3 linked regions of the Elephas maximus indicus genome follow. The protein of the gene in region 2 purifies or fractionates together with the protein of the main gene of each other region. This does not show direct contact. Links are inferred from orthologs where the notes say so. Each region holds a gene or a part of one and is shown on either strand. Other genes may lie near its edges.

What was found. The genes of interacting proteins can lie anywhere in the genome.
Region 1: the proteins of POLR2F (region 2) and POLR3C purify together in Homo sapiens (affinity purification with mass spectrometry; 3 studies listed by BioGRID and IntAct, with this or other methods). This does not show direct contact. The link is inferred for Elephas maximus indicus from reciprocal best matches to the Homo sapiens genes POLR2F and POLR3C.
Region 3: the proteins of POLR2F (region 2) and POLR1E purify together in Homo sapiens (affinity purification with mass spectrometry; 4 studies listed by BioGRID and IntAct, with this or other methods). This does not show direct contact. The link is inferred for Elephas maximus indicus from reciprocal best matches to the Homo sapiens genes POLR2F and POLR1E.

Annotation. Positions count from the first base shown.
Region 1 is NC_064821.1:157,754,230-157,761,724, forward strand, and holds the start of POLR3C (DNA-directed RNA polymerase III subunit RPC3), read right to left. Parts: upstream 3,023-7,495; 5' UTR 2,933-3,022; intron 1,656-2,932; exon of another isoform or gene 1,571-1,655; intron 1,480-1,570; 5' UTR 1,459-1,479; coding exon 1,312-1,458; intron 807-1,311; coding exon 551-806; intron 441-550; coding exon 255-440; intron 1-254. Other genes in the region: E3 ubiquitin-protein ligase RNF115, read left to right, coding at 3,452-3,541. UniProt on the Homo sapiens protein: DNA-dependent RNA polymerase catalyzes the transcription of DNA into RNA using the four ribonucleoside triphosphates as substrates.
Region 2 is NC_064822.1:181,847,489-181,854,859, reverse strand, and holds the start of POLR2F (DNA-directed RNA polymerases I, II, and III subunit RPABC2), read right to left. Parts: upstream 3,018-7,371; 5' UTR 2,901-3,017; coding exon 2,881-2,900; intron 1-2,880. Other genes in the region: C4H22orf23 (UPF0193 protein EVG1), read left to right, coding at 3,560-3,662, 4,772-4,834. UniProt on the Homo sapiens protein: DNA-dependent RNA polymerase catalyzes the transcription of DNA into RNA using the four ribonucleoside triphosphates as substrates.
Region 3 is NC_064827.1:46,344,227-46,351,313, reverse strand, and holds the start of POLR1E (DNA-directed RNA polymerase I subunit RPA49), read right to left. Parts: upstream 3,023-7,087; 5' UTR 2,941-3,022; coding exon 2,865-2,940; intron 2,335-2,864; coding exon 2,231-2,334; intron 989-2,230; coding exon 912-988; intron 1-911. UniProt on the Homo sapiens protein: Component of RNA polymerase I (Pol I), a DNA-dependent RNA polymerase which synthesizes ribosomal RNA precursors using the four ribonucleoside triphosphates as substrates.

The DNA of each region.
Region 1 (7,495 bases), on a different chromosome or scaffold from region 2:
AACACTCTATAGTTTTCCTTCACAGTATTTATCACAGTTTGTTATTCTATATTTACGTGATTATTTGATTAATGCACATCTCCTATACTAAAGTCCCGTAACAGCAGGGGTCACGCTGGTTTTTTCATTATTATATACCACAACTTCTGCACATACCAATCACTTGATGAATACTCGATTCATGCATTCATTTAAAAATGACGAAGAGTCCACAGTTAGGACAAATCACAATTTGAAAAGTCAAAATTCCTTACCTATCAAGCTCAGTTTAGGAACTAGGTACATGTCCTTTTCATTAATGACAAGAGTGGGAGCAGGTGGCGGTGGCCCAGGGTCTGAATTCTCAGTGGCAGGTACCAAGGGACAGCGCTGCACAAAGTGTGTGTCTGCCAGTCGCACAAAAGTGTTTGATACCTCAGCATAATCCATGGTCTTGCCATCTGTACAACAGGAGCAAAGGGGCAGATTAGACGGTCTAAGATAGCTAAGGGTCTGCTCCTGCAGCCCCATAATCTAAGCTTTGGCTAGCAGCTGTGGATACAGTACTGACCCTCCATTGTCTCTGTGAGCCGGTCTGCCACTTTCTTCACGACAGCTGACATTGTCATTTTGCCATTCAACAGCAGCTCCTCAACAATTAGCTCTCCAGTGTCACTGTACAGCGTTTTGGAAGTATAGATGTACCGGGGATACCTCAGCATTCGTAATACCCGGCTGCACTGGGCTTCATACTCCACCACACCACGTTTGTGTACTTGGTATGTCACCAGGTTATGTTGGATAAGGACACAAAGGGCTTTTTTAACCTAGGTAGAACCCAAAGAAAGAGAGACCTGAAGACATAGCTCAATATTGCTGGCAATTTTTGTCCAACGGTTTTCTAAGCACCAGGAGATAGCTGGAGAGGAATCTCTGTGCTGCTTCTCTCTCCCCTGGAGTAGTTAATAAGAACCACATGTCAATGGAAGAAATCTGGACAATTCCTTCCTGATGCTTCTATTCCCTCTGATTCTTTCAAAGTACAATTTGCTCTCTCTCTCTCATTCCTTAAAGGTAGTACTGAGATTAATAGAATCATAGTAAACAAATGAGGCATGGAATGGGAAGAGGAATGACTTGCCTAAGAAGCCACAATGAACTAGGAACATTTTGAAAAGCAGGACCTTGGGGCTTAAGTCCCATTCTCTTTCCCCCAAACAACATGGTTCTGATTCTAGGGCAGGTTTCCTCCCTTTTCCATTTTCTTGGGTGGGCAGTAACAATATTTAAAGGTAGGTGACAGAAGTGTACATTAATGCTATTTAAACATACCTGATCCAGTGATGTTCCTGTGTCATGGGCAATTACTCTTAGTGGTTGGCTACCAGTTCTGATTAGGTGGACTCCAATTTTTTCTACGATCTCTCCAAAATGCTCTTGCAGCAACAAAGAACACAGCTTAATTTCTGCTTGGGTCATTGTACTTGAGGGGCTTCAGAGCTAGGAAAAAAAGTATATGATGGGAAATTTTGCTTTTATGTTGCGTGTAGAGCGTGTTTACTGTAGACTTGCTGAGTATAAATTCACGTACTCTTTCTGGAGGGTGATGTAGCAATATATTTCAAAAGTCTTAAAATCTTGCACACTTTTGGCCCAGCAATTTCATTGTGAGTACTCTGTCCCCAGGAAATAATAAAAACACGTCACTGTAGTTCTCGTTAAAATACTAGAAACAATCTAGTATCCTAGCAATAAGGACTCAGTTCAATAAATTATGGTATCTCCATACGATAGAATACTATACCCACATTTAAAACGACATATAGTATGTATGTGTTAACAAAAAAGTTGTTCATAATGTATTAAGTGAAAAAAGCAAGTTACAAAGCAAAACGTGGAGTAAAATTGAATTATTGTAAAAACAAACAAAAAACACGTATGCATAGAAAACAAGGCTAGAATGTGTACAGCATCAAATTTATCTTTATGAGATTATGTACGATGAAAAATTTTTTTTTAAGTTTGGCTGTAGATGGTTTTGTGATCTGTCACAGACCTTAGATTCTATTGCTTGGAAGAAGTGAGTGTTCACAGCCCACTAGGAGTGACCAGGCAGTGTCAGTCCCAGTTGGTTAAGGAAAATGAAATTAGGAGGTAGAGCTTCTTAACAGGACAGGGTCCTTCAAACAGGAGATGAAGTATGCTGTTTACAGGGCAGTATTTAATTATGAAATTTCTACTCCTTGACAAAATAGACACAAACCAAAATGGACATAGCTAATTATACGATTAAACCACTTGCACTGGAGTCATTCTGGCTCATGGCAACCCCACGTGTGTTAGGGTAGAACCGCGCTCCGTAGGGTTTTCAACGGCTGATTTTTCGAAGTGGATCACCAGGCCTTTCTAAGGAAATGCCTCTGGGTGGATTCGAATCTTCAACCTTAATGCTTAACTGTTTGCAAAACCCAGGTACTCTTTTTAGGGTTACTTCCTTATGATCACAAACCCAACCAAAACCCACTGCCGTCGGGTCGATTCCGACTCATAGCGACCCTATAAGACAGAGTAGAACCGCCCCATAGAGTTTCCAAGGAGTGCCTGGCGGATTCGAACTGCCGACCTTTTGGTTAGCAGCCGTACCACTTAACCACTACGCCACCAGAGTTTCCTTTTGATCACAAGCTGCTACGAAATACTGGTTGATTCGTGTAGTCCTCCCAACCCCTCAGAATCCAAGTGTTTGTCTCCCAGCCTCAGCGTCGCCAGAGACCTATTTCACCCATCCACATGTCTTTGGAAAAGCATCCCCAGGCCCTTAGCCATCCTCGAAGAGGATTCCTAAGGAGCTTGGCTCCAGCATCTCCACTCCCTTCACGCAGGTTCGCGTTCCGAACTTGGTCTCTTGATCCAGAGCCAAGGCCGCTTCGTTCATACGGCATTTCCCACTAACCTCAGGGTCAATGCAATCCGGGGGCTCCAAACCTAACACCTCGAGTTCATCCCAACGACTTCGCGCGGCTCCCACTAGCCTCCCGGGCAGAGGGAGAGCCCACAGCCCTTTCTCGCAAGAAGACCAACACCCCGGAGAACCAGGAAGCGGTAAAATTGGGGGCCGCTCTACCCCAGAGTTTCAGTGGTTTCCGAGACGCTCTTTCTTTCTTCTCGCTGGAAGGTTGGAGGACCGACGAGGGGCTGTTTGAGGACCCGGCGGGGCGGGCCGCGGCTGGGGGACTCTCTTGCGCCTTTTTGGTGCTGGGGGCGGGCCGCGGGGTCGCGGGCCGCGCCGGCGCCGTCTGGCTGAGCCCAGCGGACTCACGTGACCGACGCGGACTCGGGAGCCGCGGGTCGCACAGAGGAGGCAGCGGTGGCAGCGGCAGCGGCAGCGGAGGCGGCGGCCGTAGCTGGCTAGCAGCGGCCTGGCGAGGGACCGGCCGGCTGCCGTGTCCGCCAGCCGCGGCGGAGGAGGAAAATGGCGGAGGCCTCGGCGGCCGGGACTGCTGTAGCCGCGCACCGGTTTTTCTGCCACTTTTGCAAGGGCGAGGTTAGCCCGAAACTACCGGTAAGAACGCGGTGTCCTCTGCGCTCGGGCACCTGCATGGATTCCTCCTCCCGATAGCCCGGAAACAGGTCTTAAGCTTCCTGCACTGCCCTGATTCCGCTGACTCGGTCCCCGAATACCTGCTGCCCACCGTCTCCGGTCGTTTGTCCCAAGCCCCGGGCGCCGCGGCCCGTATTTTTCTCCTCGGATGCTCCATTTGCCCCTTATTCCATTTCCTGTCTTTACCTGACCCCCTCCTCTTTTTGTCTTCCTTAGCAGCTTCTCCTCTGACAACTCTTCTCCCAATTTTCTTGCACTCTTCATCTTGTCTCCTTCCCACGATGACCTCTCTTCCTCCCCCACCCCATTCTCCTTTGCGCTTTTGCTTCTCACCTTCCCCTATTTCCTTCTCCACTTTTCAGCAGCTCCCTCCTCCCCCTTGTCCCTTCTCCTCCTCGGTGAAGTTGAATAGCGGATTGCTGATGATTGTCACTATTCGGTTGTCTCTAAGGAAGGAAGGAAGAAAGCACGGAAAGGGAGTATTGGAAAGTAAACATAGGGAGAAGAGGGCGATTTTGCTATTCAGTGGTTTCCAGGGTTTTTGCGAAAGTGAAAACAGCAGTGAACTAATGACTTGCAGACTTCCTGAGCTCCCTATCACTTTGGAAGAGAATGGCTTAAGGAAGGAGGCGGAACATATTGTTTCAACTTGGTTTATTTTAGTTGTGATGTTGCCAGTGTCACCTTCCTCACCCACTTCCCTTACTTAAAAAGAAAAAAGATTTAGGACAAAATGTTGGGGACTGCATCCTCTGATACAAAATTGGTTTCACCAGTTTCTGCCAGACTGTTAGCCTCCTAGAGAGGTAGTTCACTGGTTTTGAGGAAAACGCTTTTGCGGCATGCTAATCAGCTCCAGCACCCCAAACCTGAAGCTGTTTTGGGTTGGGTATAGCTGCTGGGGGGAGACCCACCAGGGCGAATGTTAGTTCTACACTTGACCAGCTGTTTTTAGAATTACTTATGGTTGTTCCTTTCCTTAAAAGTCTTTAGGTTTAGTGTTAAGACAGGGTAGCTACGCAAGATAACCTGTGTATTATCTCAGATGCAATCTATGAGAAAGCCTACTGAAGTGTGTCTGCGCGTCTTCTTCTTTCATAGAAACACAAATGGAGTCCAGTGAATAAGCGCCTAAAGGATATTTCTTGCCTTTTCATCTGAAAGTTGTGCTTTTTAAGGCTTTTCCAGCGTTTTTCTTTTCTATCTGCCTACCCCCAATTTCATAGTCATAATTTCATCTAAATGCTACTTAGGTTTGGTTTCTGATTTGGCTGTATGTGTGTGTGTGTGTTTGCTATATTTTAGTGCTGGCAAGAGCAGGTGCCTTGTTTTTTCCCAGCAGACATCAAGAGTTCCCAGAACTCTCACTGAGGGGGTCTGAATGCAGCTAGTAGTGAATAGTGACATGTTGTTGAATGTGATGCCTTATTGAACACTGCAGTCTGAAGCTCTTCTGATCTTTGAGACACTGCTGGTCCTTGCTTTTAAGAATGAGAAAACTTAGTCCAAACCTCCACAATTTAGTATATCTTTTCGTCTTACCACCTGAAGTCCTCACTTCAAAATGCCCTCGGAAAAGTATAACTTGAAAGGCTTTTTAGGTGTTTTTCTAAGCCTTAGAAGCCTGAAGGAGAATTTTTGATATTTCCAAAGTCTGGTTTATTATCTGTCTTGCCCTATTTATAAATTGAAGCCTGACATGGTTAAATATAACTGAATACTTTTTATGTGCATAGAAGGCTCTACTGGATGTTTTGGAGGTGATATGGAAGACTATATGGTCCCTGCCCTTAAAGACCTCCCAATCTTGTTGAGAAGACAAGACAAACATGAGAAAAATAATGTGAGGTGAATGACAATGGATAGTTTGTGAGAGAGCAGGGTGTGGGACAAAGAACTAAGTTTGACCTTTTGTATCTGGTTCTGAAAATAGCCTGAGCAGTTAAGGTGCTCTTTGCCTTTCTAAAATAGCCAGGCAAGTAGGGGCTGTACAGGCCCCATATCTAGCAAACCAAACTGACTTCAAGAAGGGAGGGGGAAGTGATGCAGTCATGCGTATTCGTTGAGGTCCCAATGACTAAGGTACTCTGGGCCTTGAAATCCCTTTTCGGGGGGCTTCCAGGATCAGTCGGAACATCCACGCAGGGGAGAGGGTGAGTGAGGTTTGTGCCTGGGGACAGTGGATCTTGTCTGATGTGTCTCTTTGCTTGTATCCTTTCTGGTTATAATAAATGGGTAGCTGTAAGTATAGGTAATGTTGTCATTGTTGTTAGGAGCTGTCCAGTAGATTCCAAGTCATAGTGTCCCCATGTGCTATAGAGCAAAACACTGCCAAGTCCTGTGCCATCCTCACAATTGTTGCTCTTGGAGCCCGTTGCTGTAGCCACTGAGTCAATCCGTCTTTTAGAGGGTCTTTCTCTTTTTCACTGACCCTCTTCTTTACCAAGCATGATGTCCTTCTCCAGGGACTGATCCCTCCTGATAACATGTCCAGAGTACCTGAGACAGGTCTTGCCATCCTTGCTTCTGAGGAGTATTCTGGCTGTATTTCTTCCAAGACAGATTTATTTGTTCTTCTGGCAATCCATGGTATATTCAATACTCTTTATGAACACCATAAGTATAGGTAATAAAATAGTCTCTGCAAATTTTGTGGGTTCGAACTGCTGACTTTTGCTAGCAGCTGAACGCTTTAACCACTGGACCACCAGGGCTGCTCGCTATGCATTAGGCATGCGGTGTTTGCTGAACTGGATGAATGTCATGAGAAACCTGGGTGTCTCTCTGAGGATAGCCAGATGCTGCTTATCTTATCATGAATAAAATATTTCTTTGTTATGACTGAATTTGCATCTCAAGAGGGTACTGACTTTTTGTGTGTTAGTTGGATGACAAGGTCACCCATGGCTTTAGGCCTCTCAGAACAACAACTGAAACTAAACCCACAGCCTTCAGGTCGATTTCAACTTACAGTGACCCTATAGGACAGAGTAAAACTGCCCAATCAGGTTTCCAAGGAAGCAAACTGCCACATCGTTTTCCCGTGGTTCGTAGCCGAGCGCTTTAACCACTGCACCACCAGGGCTCCTTTTCTCAGAACACCAGAGGCTGGGTATTTACATTAACTTTCAATGAACTACTGCTAGGAAGTTTTCTTCACCCAATCAGTGAGAAGGACTGCTTCACAGCTGTTTTATCTTTTACTGTTTATCCACCAACAGAGCCATGTTCAGTGGGGCTAGGTTGAAAGGTTTTCCACTATTCCCTTATTTTCTCTTCCCAATCTTTGGATACAGCACTTCTTGATATATTTGGAAGTGTGTGCAGACAGTAGCAGTAGCAGTAGCTTACCCAAGGTTCAACTCAGAAACTAAGTTTTAGTTTATTGTTTTTCTTGTCAGTTCTGCTACTCTGAAAGATTCATGGACCCAGCTAACTTTAGTGTCTGTGTTAAGAGAAATAGTTTTGGCTATAACTTTTGAGAGCTTGGAGCATGCGTAATGCTGTGTAGGTTAAACTACATGTAGGTTGAGTTTATTTGATTTGATGAAATAATATTCCTTACTGCTAATCCTAAGGAGCCCTGGTGGTGCAGTGGTTAAGTGCTCAACTGCGAACCTAAAGGTTAGCGGTTCAAACCCACCAGCTGCTCCTCGGGTGGAAGATTCCCTCCCCCTCAGAAAAACAAACCTATTGCCATCGAGTGGATTCCCACTCCTAGCGACCCTACAGGACAGAGTAGAATTGCCCCATAGGGTTTCCAAGGAGCACCTGGTGGATTCGATCTGCCGACCTTTCGGTTAGACCCTGTAGCTCTTAACCACTACACCACCAGGATTTCTTCCGTAAAGATTACAGCCTTGGAAACCCTATGGGGCAGTTCTACTCTCTCCAGTAGGGTCACTGTGAGTCAGA
Region 2 (7,371 bases):
CTCAATGAGATGGACCTACACGGTGGCTGCAACAATGGGCTCAAACACAGCAACGAATGTGAGGATGGCACAGGACCAGGGAGTGTTTTGTTCTGTTGTACACAGGGTCGCTGATTTGGAACCAACTCAATGGCACCTAACAACAACCTCTTCCTCCAAGCACTCATGTTTGGAAAGCTCTAACACTCAGTCACTGGCTGTATCCTCTCCTGACACCTACCCTCCTGGTGATCTCACCTATTTCTTAGCTTTGAATCATATATATTTGCTGACAACTCCCATATTTTTCTCTTCAGAATCCTCTTCTCTACCCCACACATTCAATCCATGATAAAATCCTCTTGGCTCTACCTTCAAAATACATCCAGAATCCAACCACTTCTCACCACCTCTACTATCACCCCAGTTCAAGCTACTACCTTTTCTCACCTAGATTACTGCAATAACTTCCCAACTAAACTCCCTGCTTCTATCTTTGACTCCCTACAGTCTATTACCAACACAGTAGCCAGAGTGATCCTTATGAAACCTAAAATCCTATCACTTCTCTGGTCACAACTTTTTGATGGCTCCCCATTTCAATCAGAGTTAAAGCCAAGTCCTAACAGTGGTCCACAAGCTTATATAATTTGGCCTCCTATCACTTCCCTGACCTCATCCTCTACCACCCTCCCCTTGCAGGAGCCACACTGTTGGCCTCCTGACTGTTCTGCACACACTCCAGGCATACTCCTACCTTAGAGCCTTTGCTCTAGCTGTCCCATCTGCCCAGTGGCTAACACCTTCACCTCCTTCAACTCTTTGTTCAAATGACATCATCTCCACAAAGCCTTCTCTCTAGTAACTTTCCTATTTAAAACTGAAACCTACAGTCCTGCCCCCAGCTCTCTATTTTTACCATACTACTTTCCACCTCCTAACACACATTTACTTACTTAGCCTGTTACCACCGTGCTTCGCCCACCCCTTCCCCAATTCATTCCAAGCTTCTGGAATAGAGCCTGACACATAAATATTTGTTTAATAAATAACCCAATTCAGTCAAATTCAATATGACATGGATAAAACAGACTTCGTGACCTCAGTCTCTCACATCTGCCCTCTTCACCACTATTCTTGATCTTGGGATCATCCTACCACACCCAAAGAAGATAATAACAATCCGCTCTTTCTTCCAGGTTCTCTATCATGGCTGGAAGAACCACCCCAGTTCCTCAAGCTAGAAAATGCTCAACCTCCATCTCTCCTTTGCACCCACATCCTATCACCAAGTCCTGTCAACTCCATCTCCTAAAATCTCTCTGCACCCTCCTCCCTATTCCATGGTCATAATCTAAATTCAGGTCTCCATCCTTTCCCAGTTTATAATTTTGCAACAACTTCCTAACTGGTCTTTCTTTTCCAATCCGACTCTCCAAATCCACTCATCACAATGTATGCAAAGTATCTCTTCTAAAAAGAAAACCTAACTGTGTCGCCCCACTGCTTAAAACAACTCAATGTCCCCTTCACCTCAAGGATCAAGAATAAAGTCTTTAAAAAGGCACAACCGCCCTCAATCATCTGGTCTTTATTGTCTCTCAGCTGCCCCTTCCTGACATGTTTTGCTTTCAGAACACAAGCTGGTTTCCCAAATTCCCCCCACATCACACCTTGTCATGTCTCTGTTCTTTAGGATACATTGTTTTCTCTACTTGCAAGGCTCTCTGCCTTGTCCACCAGGCCAATTCTTAGTCACATTTCATAGCCCTTCACCACCTCTGTGAGGTCTCACCAGCCTCGCCCCTCCGGATTATTCCCTGCTACATACTTCTACTGCTACCCCATATTATCTCTTCATGGGCCAGTTTCATCTCCTAGAAAGTAGTCGCCTGCAGACAGGGACTGTGCCTAATTCACCTCATATTCCCAGTACAAGGCACAGAGCCCAACTCAGTGGCAGTCTGTTGAAAGACACCTTATTCACTGAATAAGGTCCCCCAAGCCTGGGCCTTTCTGTGTCTACCCTCCGGCCTGGTCTGTGCTCCTGGTTTTCGGCCCTTCCCTTCTGCAGCTCTGCCAATCCCTCAGTATCCCCTGTCCCCTCAGACACTGTCCCTAGACCCTAGCTCCTCAGTCTCTTCCAACTCAAGCCCCCAGTATCCCTGTCCCCTCAAACACTGTCCCTAGCCCCCAGGACCCCAATATCCCCATCCCCTCGGACACTGCCCCTAGCCCCCAGGGCCCCAGTATCCCCGTCCCCTCGGACACTGCCCCTAGCCCCCAGGGACCCAGTATCCCCGTCCCCTTGGACACTGCCCCTAGTCCCCAGGGCCCCAGTATCCCCGTCCCCTCGGACACTGCCCCTAACCCCCAGTATCCCCGTCCCCTCGGACACTGCCCCTAGCCCCCAGGACCCCAGTATCCCCGTTCCCTCGGACACTGCCCCTAGCCCCCAGGGACCCAGTATCCCCGTCCCCTCGGACACTGCCCCTAGCCCCCAGGGTCCCAGTATCCCCATCCCCTCGGACATTGCCCCTAGTCCCCAGGGACCCAGTATCCCCGTCCCCTTGGACACTGCCCCTAGTCCCCAGGGCCCCAGTATCCCCGTCCCCTCGGACACTGCCCCTAGTCCCCAGGCCCCCAGTATCCCCGTCCCCTCGGACACTGCCCCTAGCCCCCAGGGCCCCAGTATCCCTATCCCCTCGGACACTGCCCCTAGTCCTCAGGCCCCCAGTATCCCCGTCCCTTCAGACACTGCCCCTAGTCCCCAGGCCCCCAGTATCCCCGTCCCCTCGGACACTGCCCCTAGCCCCCAGACTTCTCAGTCTCTTCCGACCCATGCCTTCGCTTCCGTCCCTCCCTAGGTTCCCGCAAAGGCCACTCCGCTCCTGCACTCACTTGTCCTCGTTGTCTGACATAACGTCACCGCTGCACAGACCCCGCTCTGCACTCCACGGCCGCACAAGAACACACAAGCAGCGCGCCTCGGCCTCGCGCGGCCACCCGTACCCTGCGCCTGCGCCGTGACCCAGAGGCAATCACTTCCGGGAGGCTGGCCAGTGAGTCAATGCTCATGCGCCGAATGGCTTACGCACGTTACCATGGTAGCCAGAGCCGCTAGGTGCCGGCTCCAGTCGCAGAGATCGCAAAATATTTCTGGGGGGCTTCTGCGTCGGGTGCTCCTGCAGAGTCGTGGTGTCCGTCTCCGGGAGCTTACCCGCCGCTCTCCGCAGGGAGGGGGCACCCAGACACGTCTTCCTTTAGGGTGAGATTTCAACTGGCACATCACCCCATGGGTACTGCCGTGACCACGGCGATTTTAACGCTCCCTTTCTCCCGAGGGGACTTCCCTGCCACAGGCGCTGGGTCCCAATGAGGACTCTGTGTGTGTGTGTGTGTCAGGGTCGGGATCGGGCACTGTCGCGATATTTACTAGAGTCATCACGATTCTCCTGCCACCCAGATCCTCCACCTACTCTCCCAGACTTTGGGTGGGGTTGGGGGCAAGGAAACAGAGACTGGGACTAGGAGACAGGGGATGTGTTTCATTGTGTCTTTCCCTACTCAGGGCCCTCCCATGACTTCCCAGGAGAGGCTGGGGGCAGTAACCAAAAGAACGGGGTTCTGGCGCTGCCCCCAGCCAGCCGCTTACACCCCGGGGACCTGCGAACTGCTCAGAGGTCAGTGTTTGAAGGACACGAAGAGACAAGTGGTGGTAACTGTTAACCTCTGTAACTCAGTTCTCCCCTACATGACCTGTGGCTTAGTAATGGCGATTTTCATTTTACAGATGGGAAGTCTGCCCTACAGCTAGCCGGTAGCCAAAAGTCAAAGAGCTAAGAATTTTTGAGTAGGTAACTCCTGTGCATTCTTCAGATCACACTTGCAACTTCCTCAGGGAACCCCCCCCCCAATACCACCACAACAGAAGCACCTGTTACTGCCCTCACATCATCAAATACCTTTGTCTTCATTGTGCATAGCCCAACCTGTTGTCAGATATCTAGCTGTATCCGTTAGATTAATGTTCATCTCTCTCTAGATCATTACCTCCATCAGGGCAGGGATCGTGCCTGTTTCGGCTCACTGTTGGAGCTCCAGCTCCTGGCTTAATGAATACTTGCTCGTACATTCACTCAACAATTTTTTAAAGAGACCAAAATGTCGGCAGTTCGAATCCACCAGCCACTCCTTGGAAACCCTGTGGGGCAGTTCTGTTCTGTCCTATGGGGTCGCTGTGAGTCGAAATTGACTTGACGGCAATGGGTTTGGTACTGCGTGCTGTAGAAGTCCCTGAGTCGCACAAATAGTGAAGCACTTGATTACTAACCAAAAGGTAGGCAGTTCAAACCCACTCAGAGGTATCTCAGAAGAAAGGCCTGGCGATCTGCTTCCAAAAGCTGACAGATTAGAAAACCCTCTGGAGCATAGTTCTCCTCTGCAGCTCATGAGTCAGAACAAACTTGATGGCAGCTGGGTTGTTTTTGGTTTATATGTGCTTTAGACACTGTTTTAGGCGCTGGGAATATGGCAGTTAACAAAATGGGGGAAAAACAACAAAAATTCTTGTCCTAATGTAGCTAATCTAGCAAGAGGGTAACAACAAATCAATAAGTTAAGTATCTGGAGCTTAAATGGTGACAAGCGCCACCGAAAAGATGAAACAGGGAAGGGAGAGCAGAGTGTTCAGGTGCAGAATGGAGGAGGTACAAATTTTAATTTAAATAAGGTGGGGTGAAGGCATCTGCCTGCAGCCCAGTAGGCCTCATAGAGATGCTTTATCTTGCAGTGATGATGAAGGAATCCAAACTAACCAGCTTCCAACAGCGCCACATCATGGACACCATGAAAAGTAAGAGGTGGTCAGCAGAGACCTCCTGGGCAGAGGGGTTTGGGGCCACATTTTATATGCTCTTCTATATTAAGGGTTGTCGTTGTTAGGTGCCGTCAAGTTGGTTTTGACTGATAGCAATCATGTGTACAACAGAACAAGACACTGTCTAGTCCTGTGCCGTCCTCATGATCGTTGCTATGCTTGGGTCCATTGTTGCAGCCACTGTGTCAGTCCATCTCATTGAGGGTCTTCCTCTTTTTCACTGACCTTCTACTTTACCAAGAATGATGCCCTTCTCCAGGGACTGATCCCTCCTGATAACATGGCCAAAGTATGTAGGAGTGAGGGACCTCATTTAAAAAGACAAAGACTATGTAAATATAAATATATATTAACATGGTATCTCTGATCCTTGCTTCTGTGGAACTGACCTTGTGGGGCCTTGGTCTTTTCCCTGGACATGGATGCTGGCAAAATGACAAATCTCCTGCAAGTCTGGCTCTAGCCGAGCTTCCCAAGGGGTCAGAACCCAATGGAGACTTTCTGACCAGCCAAATAGTCTCAGCACCAACCAAACCCAAACCAGTTGCTGTCAAGTTGATTTTCACTTACTTCGTGCTGTTAGGTGCTGTCGAGTCAGCTCCGACTCACAGCAACCCTACATACAACAGAATGAAACACTGCCCGGTCTTGTGCCATCCTCACAATCGTTGCTATGTTTGAGCCTATTGTTGCAGCCACTGTGTCAATCCATCTTGTTGAGGGTCTTCCTCTTTTTCACTGACCCTCTACTTGACCAGGGTCTGGTCCCTCCTGATAACACACCCAAAGTACATGAGATGAAGTCTCACCATCCTTGCTTCTAAGGAGCACTCTGGCTGTACTTCTTCCAAGACAGATTTGTTCGTTCTTCTGGCAGTTCATGGTGTATTCAATATTCTTTGCCAACACCGTAATTCGAAGGCATTGACTTCTCTTCAGTCATCTTTAGTCATAGTGACCTTATAAAGCAGAATAGAACTACCCCATAGGGTTTCCTCTTTCTTCCTCGGAGTGGCTGGTGGGTTTGAACTACTGACCTTTCAGCCAGCAGAGAGTGCTAAACTAGGCTTAATTATGCTACTAGGGTGCCTCAGTCTCAACACAGGCATATCTGTAATCTGTCCCACCCTGTCACACACATACCATGTGAACTCTCCAAAGGACAGGACCAAGATGATTGGCTGATTCCCACTTAGGAAGAATACACCAAGCCTTCCCACAGCTCACCCCTCAACACAGAAAGCCCAAGCTTACTGGGTGTAACTTAGATCTGCTGGAAGCTATTGCCTTCTCTAAGGAAGGCATGTGCCTACTGGGAGGACACCTGATCAACCACAGAAGTGTAGGGAGGGAGAGTCAGAGAGGCAAATACTGGCAGCGTCTGCCTTGCACTGGCTATGGGAGGGAGGCTCCATCAGGCCAGTTCGGGGGTCAGATCTGCTTCTTCACCATGGACGAGGACATCTCGGGCCACCAGGGCCTGGTACCATCACTTATTTGAACCACATAATTCAGTAATCTACTAATAATGTGGTGTCAACTCTAGCATGACAAAGGAGCCCTGCTGGTGCAGTGGTTAAAGCGATTGACTGCTAACCAAAAGGTTGGTGGTTTGAAACCACCAGCAGCTCCGTGGGAGAAAGACATGGCAGTCTGCTTCCATAGAGATTTACAGCCTTGAAAATCCTCTGAAGTCGCTGTGAGTCAGAATCGACTTCATGGCAGTGTGCGGGTAGCATGACTACAGAGAGAGTGTGCTAGAAATTCCACTAAAAGTAAGTACTAAGGACTGGGTCTGCCCTGTTCACCACGGTAGCCTCAACACCTAAAACAGGTGCTCCGTATTTACTGCATTGGTGGTTAGCCCCACACCCAAGTACCTGGTTTGCCTGGTTTTATTCTCCTTAAAAAGTTTTCCTTTCCCCTCAGCCCTCTGTTTTTTATCGGAATAAAATATACACAACATAAAATTTGTCAAGAGTACCCAGGCCATGGTATTTTCAGTCGCAACATATGCATGCCAAAGCTGGACAATGAATAAGGAAGACCAAAGAAGAATTGACGCCTTTGAATTGTGGTGTTGGCAAACAATATTGGATATACCATGGACTGCAAAAAGAGCAAACAAACCTGTCTTGGAAGAAGTACAACCAGAATGCTCCTTAGAAGCAGGGTTGGCGAGACTGCATCTTACATACTTTGGACATGTTGCCAGGAGGGATCAGTCCCTGGAAAAGGACATCATGCTTGGTAGAATAGAGGGTCAGAGGAAAAGAAGAAGACCCTCAATGAGATGGATTGACACAGTGGCTGCTCAGTGGGCTCAAGCATAACAGTAGTTGTGAGGATGGCACAGGACCGGGCAGTGTTTCATTCTGTGGTATGCAGGGTTGCTATGAGTCAGAACTGACTGGAAGGCACCTAACAACAACAGTTCAGTGGCATTAATCACACTCATGGTGTTGTGCTATCATAACCAGTTTGTTTCCAAAACGTTCTCATCACCCTAAACA
Region 3 (7,087 bases), on a different chromosome or scaffold from region 2:
TTGCTGCATGTATAAATTTTACGGAGGCACATATGAGTAAAACCATACTGATTATGGGGAGAAGACCACTCTGAATTAGAGAATCTTTGTGAGGGGATGCAGCGTGTTAATACTTTTAAGCATATGTGCATTAATCTGACTTGTATCAGGATGTGGTCTAGTGGGAGTTCAGACAGGGCCTTGTTTGTGGTTCACTGTAAGGAAACCCTGGAGGCGTAGTGGTTAAGAACTATAGATGCTAACCAAAAGGCTGGCAGTTGAAATCCAATAGGCGCTCCTTGGAAACTCTATGGGGCAGTCCTACTGTTCTATAGGGTCGCTATGAATAGGAATCGACTCGACGGCAACAGGTTTTTTTATGGGTTGGGTAGCATCACAGGGACCCCATCTGCATTATGCCAGCCCCTGAGAATTGTAGCCTGTTTCAGCTGGACAATCTTCACTGTACAGAGAGGGAGGACAAGGGTCAGTGAAAGGCAGAGTTCTCCAGTGTCGCTCAGTCAACTACCACGGAGCTAGATGGAAACCCTGGGCCCCTCCTTCCCAGCCCAGAGCCTTCAACACTACTAAATCCTTTTCTTGTAGTTAGTTCCAAGGCAAACTTCAGGCAAGGTCTGGTCTACTAATCACACATTCCAAATTTGTAGAGACAGCTGTCAATTGGAATAAGACAGATATAAAGAATATTACAAATTAACACGGTTTAAGAATTTTTAACAAATAGAAGTCATCTCTCTTTTTCAGGAATATTAACAGGCTGGTATGAGGATCCCTGGGTCCAGGAACACAGGGACTTGTTAACCTCCCTACGTTCTCCCACTGCCCCTATGATAAAGACTGATAACAAAAATGCCAGTGGCACCACCTCTACCCTCCCCATTACCTTTAATGCTGCCCGTCCCCATCACTACCTGCACAAAGTGTTGCATTTGAGGGCTCCGGTCCCAAAATTGTTCCCCACATAGGAAAGTCTGTCTGTTTCAGCTGCCTAAAATATAGAAGGGAAAAAAGCTCCACTTAATGTCAAAAGGTACTAAGTATCTTGTCTCCTTTTTATACATTTGCAAAAGCTTTAGAATGCAGAACCACAGTGGATTAGAACTAGAGAGCCACTGGGAGGTGGTACAGCCCCACTATCTCTAAGTGAATCTGGGGTACCCCTGGGGAAAGGGCAAGAGGACTTTTGAAAGGTAAGCCCCAGAAGGTGCTGAGTTCTAACCATATTAAAGGTTCCTGGCCGAGGTGCACCACAGGACTTGGGGGAAAGGCCCTGGGCTCCCAACACATATACATAGGCATGCAACAAGGTGATTCTGCAGGCAACCTCCTTGGCCTGGAATCCAAATTCTCTTTTATCCTTTTTGTTCACTTCTACCATGACTACTCTTTACGTACTCTTAGGACCACGGAAATGGTTAATTCACACCCCAATCACAGTCAAGCACTAGTTCTTGCTATCCTCTTCACCTGGAATATCAAATCTCACCTGACAGTCTCTCCTACCCCCATCCTTCAGGGCTCAGCTCCAGTGAACCCTCTTCCAAAAAGGCATTCTGGCAAGCAGAGAGTTCTCCCCTTTCTGAGCTCACTCTGCCCTGTACTCTCTCCCTTAGGCCTTGAGCTTTGTCTACTTGTATGAGTGTCCCTCACATCCAATTCTCACCTCTCCCTCCAGAGCAGAGGCTCTCAACCCAGGACAATTTTGTCCCCCACCCCAGTGGGACATTTGGCAATGTTTGACATTTTTGATTGTCACAACTGGGGGTTGGGGGCGGGGAAGAGTATTACTGGCATCTAGTGGGTAGAGACCAGGAATGCTGCTAAATATCCTGTGATGCACAGGACAGCTGCCCACAACAAAGGATTATCTGGCCCCAAATGTCAATAGTGCTGCAGTTGAGAAACCCTGTTCTAGAGTATGAGCTCCCTCAGAGCGGCACCAGGTCTAGTTTGGCTTTACCCCCAACAGGTTACAGCACAGGGCCACGGCAGGTGCTCAGTAAATGCTTGTTGAATTAACAAATGAATTAACCGTCATCACTTCTCCAAAAGTTCCAAACCTGGATGGCCAAGCCTGCCCCACACCAGCTGTGGGGCGGGGGGAGGAATAGTTCTTTAAAGGCCCATTTGCTGCCCCCCTTTTTTCCTCCCTCACTCCCTTCACAGCCACCCACACCCAAGGGACCTCCTGAGGTCTGCAGAGTGGAGGTAATTGGCAACCATGACTTACTAAGATTCGCTGACTCCTCTTCCTGGGGTTTGTGGAGTCTTTATTCTTGTACAAGGTAAAGTGCATGTTGCCTGGATTCTGCAGCTTTCCATTGGAGAACTGGACTGTAAGGTTGCAGCCAAGAGCAGAATGAGAAGGGGACCCACAGTGTATGTGAAGAGGAAACGGGGAGTCACTGGAAGTGATTCGAAGAATGGAGATGGGGAAGGAAGTCCTGACCCAGTTGAGAAGGGATGAACAGGTGAGAGGAGCCCCCGGGAGAGCCTGTGACAGGAGGGAATGACTGGGAGGATAGAGGTTACAGAGGAGGTCTGGTCCAGTTCTAGAAAAACAAAGGGGCTCTCTACCCAGAGGAGAGAGGGAAATGGGGCAGATAGGAGAGATGGTGGATGAGGGGACTAAAGGGTCCTGGGCACGGCCCTGGGGAGGGTGTGGCAGGGATGTCCCCATCCAGCTGGGAGTGGTGACAGGGTGGCAGGATGACGTTGAAGCCCTGAATGAGCCCCAATGAGTAGAGACTAGAGGGATACTGGCCCAGGTGGGAGGGGGGCCAGGCGGGGCGCGGGAGACTGGAGAGGTACCAAGAGACGGAAGTGGGATAAAGGGAACTCCGCTCCAGCTCCGCAGTCTTTACCGAGTACAGCTCTCTGGCTACCGTCGGGCTCCCCACAGTACAGCCACCTCGCACTCGGCAACACCTCCGCCGCCATCTCGCCCCTCTAGCGGCCACAACTCGAAGCTGAACTAGCCTGGACTACCGGGTGCATTAGGTCACACGTGGTATCCCGCCTAGTGCGCCGAACCGGAAGGGCGTGGCCTCGTGAGGCACCGCCCCGCGCGCTCGGAGACGCGTGTTTCCGCCCCCTCCTGACATCGCCCTCCCCCCTGCACGCTCCTCCCCGGAGCGTGTCGGCGCGCTGCCCCGGCCACTCAGCGCAGCAGCTCGGCGTGCTGCCCCGGCCACTCAGCGCAGCAGCTCGGCGCTGACAGGTGTGGTCTCCGGCACACCGTACCCCTGCACTATACTGGTTTTGTGGGACTAGGGCTGAGGGCGCCCAAACGTCTGCAGCTTCAGTCTGTGCTTCGTGTTTGGTTTCCAGCTGCTCAGCATGGTCTGGATAAAGTATGATCTATTTCTTCTACATTGACAAATATATCTTCCTGAGACCTGAAAAACTAGGTTCAAACTTAGGATTCTCCTACTGGACCTCCTCCAGCTACAACTAAATGTGGCAGCTGGCGGAGAGCTACCCACTCTCTAAGAGTTGCCATCTACACATGTGGGCTCCCAGTCCTTTAGTCCAAGCTGCGTCCACAACCCCGCCAGCACCTCCCCCATGAGCTAGGAGAGCATACACTAGGATCAGGGGGAAATGCGAACAGGCTCAGAGCTTTTGGGCAGGGAATTCTTGGTTGTGTCCTAAGAGGGGAGGTGGACCTGATGGGCATGTCCCCTTGGCCCTGAGGATTCCACCCCGCTCCCCGAGGGAAGTTACCAGAGCAGGGCCTCTAAAGCATGGACCCAGGCCAGGGGTTCCTCTTGCCAGTCAAAAGACGGTACTGTTGAAGGGCAAGAACTCGGATTGGCTCTTCTCGGTTCTCCAAAGCGCCTTCTTTCAAGACTATGTTCAGGTTTCAGCCTTAAGAAGCCGTCCCTAGCACCCCTGTCACCCCCTACACAGACACCCAATCTCCTCCAAAAAAAACCTAGCACTTCAGCTTCCCTTTACCTGAGCAGTTGCCACATTTTTATAATGACCCAATCGCAAATTTACAGAAATATTGCGAGCAAGTATGAGTAATTTTTTTTTTTTGCCCTGATCATTTTAGAGTAAGCTGCCAACCTGAATTCCATTGCCTCTGAAGACTGTATAGTATTTCCTACTGACAAACACATTCCCTAAATACAATGCAGTCATCAAAACCAGACAATTAACATGGATGCATTACTTCCATGTAATCCTCACACTCCATGTAAATTAACCATTGGTCGCACTAACTTTGTTCGTAGGGAAAGGATCCTGTCCACAATCACGTGGTGCATTTAGTTGTTATAGCTCTTTAGTCTCTTATAATCTGAAACAGTTGCTCAGTCTTTCTTTGACTTTCATAACTTTGACCATTTTAATGATCACAGGCCAGTGATTTGTAAAACTTCCCTCTGGGTTTCTAAATGATCTAATGTTTCCAAATGATTAGTTTCAGATTATACATCTTTGGCAGAACTATTTGTGTTCTTCTTGTATTCTATCAGGTGGCACATAATTTCGATTTACTCCATTACTAGTGATACTAACTTTGATCACTTGATTAAGGTAGTGTCAACCAGACATCTCCACCACGAAGTTATTCTTTGTCCCTTTGTAGTTAGTATTTTGTGGAAGGTACTTAGAGACTGACTATGCAAGTGTCTCATTCATCACATTTTCAGTTTATTAATTTATGTCAGTTTGGACTTGTTGGTTCCTATCTTATTCAGTAGATTAAAATCTGCTGTTATCATTATTTGTTTCTGTGTTGAAATGTTTCCAGATCGTGCCATTGGAAATCCCTTCGAGTTGCCTGCTGTGTCCTTTTGACATGCCCCATCAGTTTTAGAGCATATCCCTACCTCCTGGCACAACAAAGTATCCCAGTTCATCTTGTACTTTCCCTGCCCCAACCCTGCAATCAGCTATTTCTCTAAGAAATTTTTGCCGTAAGAAATTTCTCTAAGACATTTTTGCTGAGAAATAGAATTTAGAAACAAAGATCTGTGTGTTAGATATATTTTGCTTTTGGCATGCCACTGCTCCCAGGCCCTCTTGGTTGGCCAAATTAGGAAATACATGTATTAATGCTTACAACTGTATTTATTTCTAGATCTGTATATATATACTGAAAATCATGAGTTCACACTGACCTCTGATTCTAATCCAACACCACAAGGGTTCATTCTAGTTTTCTTTCGTCTCATATTTGTAACTCCCTTGGCATAGTGGTTAAGAGCTACAGCTGCTAACCAAAAGGTCAGCCATTCAAATTCACCAGGTGCTCCTTGGAAACTCTATGGGCAGTTCTACTCTGTCCTATAGGTTCACTATGAGTCGCAATCGACCTGACGGCAATGGTTTTTTGTTTTTGTTTTTTTCTCTCACGCTGAGAAACCTGGTTCCAGTTAGCCTTAATACATTCACTTATTTGATCAATCCTCTGTAAGTAATCATCTCCTGCCACCACCATGACCACCACCACCACCTGACATGGATGCCCTTCTTACTTCATTCAGGCTCTAACACCCTGTACTGGGCCATTACCAACGCCATTCCACCACCTGCATGAATCCCCTCTTCACTTTGCTCAGACTCTGATAACCCCAGCCAAGCTGCACCCCTGCCCAGTGCCACAGATTGAATTGTGTCCCCCAAAAATGTGCGTCAACTTGGCTAGGCCATGATTTCCAGTATTGTGAGGTTGTCCTTTGTTTTGTGATCTGATATAATTAACCTATGTGTTGATAATCCTAACCTCTATGATAATGAGGCAGGATTAAAAGCAGTTATGTTAATTAGGCAGGATACAATCTACAGGATTAGTTTGTATCTTGAGTCAATCTCTTATGAGATACAAAAGAGAGAAATGAGCAAGAAACCACCAAGAAAGAAGAGCCTGGAGTGGAGTACATCCTTCGGACCTGGGGTCCCTGTGCTGAGAAGGTACTAGACTCACGGGAAGATTGATGACAAGGACCTTCACCCAGAGCCAACAGAGAGAGAAAGCCTTCCCTTGGAGCTGGCACCCTGAATTCAGACTTCTAGCCTCCTAAACTATGAGAGAATAGATTTCTGTTTGTTAAAGCCATCCACTTGTCGTATTTCTTTCATAGTAACACTAGATAACTGAGACACCTAGCTGGGCTCAGACACTCTTTACCTGGCCACCCTTCCACATGGATGCCTTTTCACACTCCTTAGGCTCCAGCACCCCTGTTCTAGACCACTGCAGGCTCTCCTTCTGCTCTGAGTGGAAATCTACCTTTGCTTGACTCCTCTTGATGGCTTTTAGATTTATTGGGGGGGGGGGGGGCGCAGTGAGGGAAGAAGAGGAAAAAATAAGCTTAGTTCTAATTATTTGCCTGTTTCCCACCTGATTGTTCCCTCGCTAAATTTATTTGGGGTTAACAATAAATACTAAAACAATAAAAATAATTTGGGGGTTAAGCAATAAAAAGATTTATGCCTGTTTGTTCGCTGCTGTAGCTGCAGCTCCTGGACCAGTGCCTGGCACAGAGTAGACCCTCAGTTAATGTTGAATGTGTGACAGAAAGGAAAGGGTCTTAATCGTGATTAATCCTGAGAGCCTCACACAAGGACCGGAACTCAAAGATGTTGGTTGAAATGAATTGGCAGAGGGTTTGCAGATAGCAGATTCTCTGTAAGTGTTGATGGGTTGAATGACCACATGAACAGTTAAATCATAGTTATGGGATGACAAAGAGGCGGGAGTGGCTACACAAAGTCAAATGTCATTCTTGAGAGAAGTGCCCTGGCCTCTCCTTATATAGGGTCGCGGTCTATGGCCTTGCTACTCAAAGTGTGGCTCATAGACCAGCAGCATTTGCATCACCTGGAAGCTTGTTAGAAACGCAGAATTAATCTGCACTTTAACAAGATTGCACAGGTGACTCCTGTGCATTTAGGGTTTGGGAACCACTGTTGTACAATATGGAGCCCTGGTGGTGGCAGTGCTTAAGAGCTTGGCTGCTAAGCAAAAGGTCAGCAGTTTGAATCCACCTGCCGCTCCTTAGAGACCCTGTGGGGCAGTTCTACTCTGTTCTATAGGGTCGCTATTAGTGAGAATCAACTGTATGGCAATGGG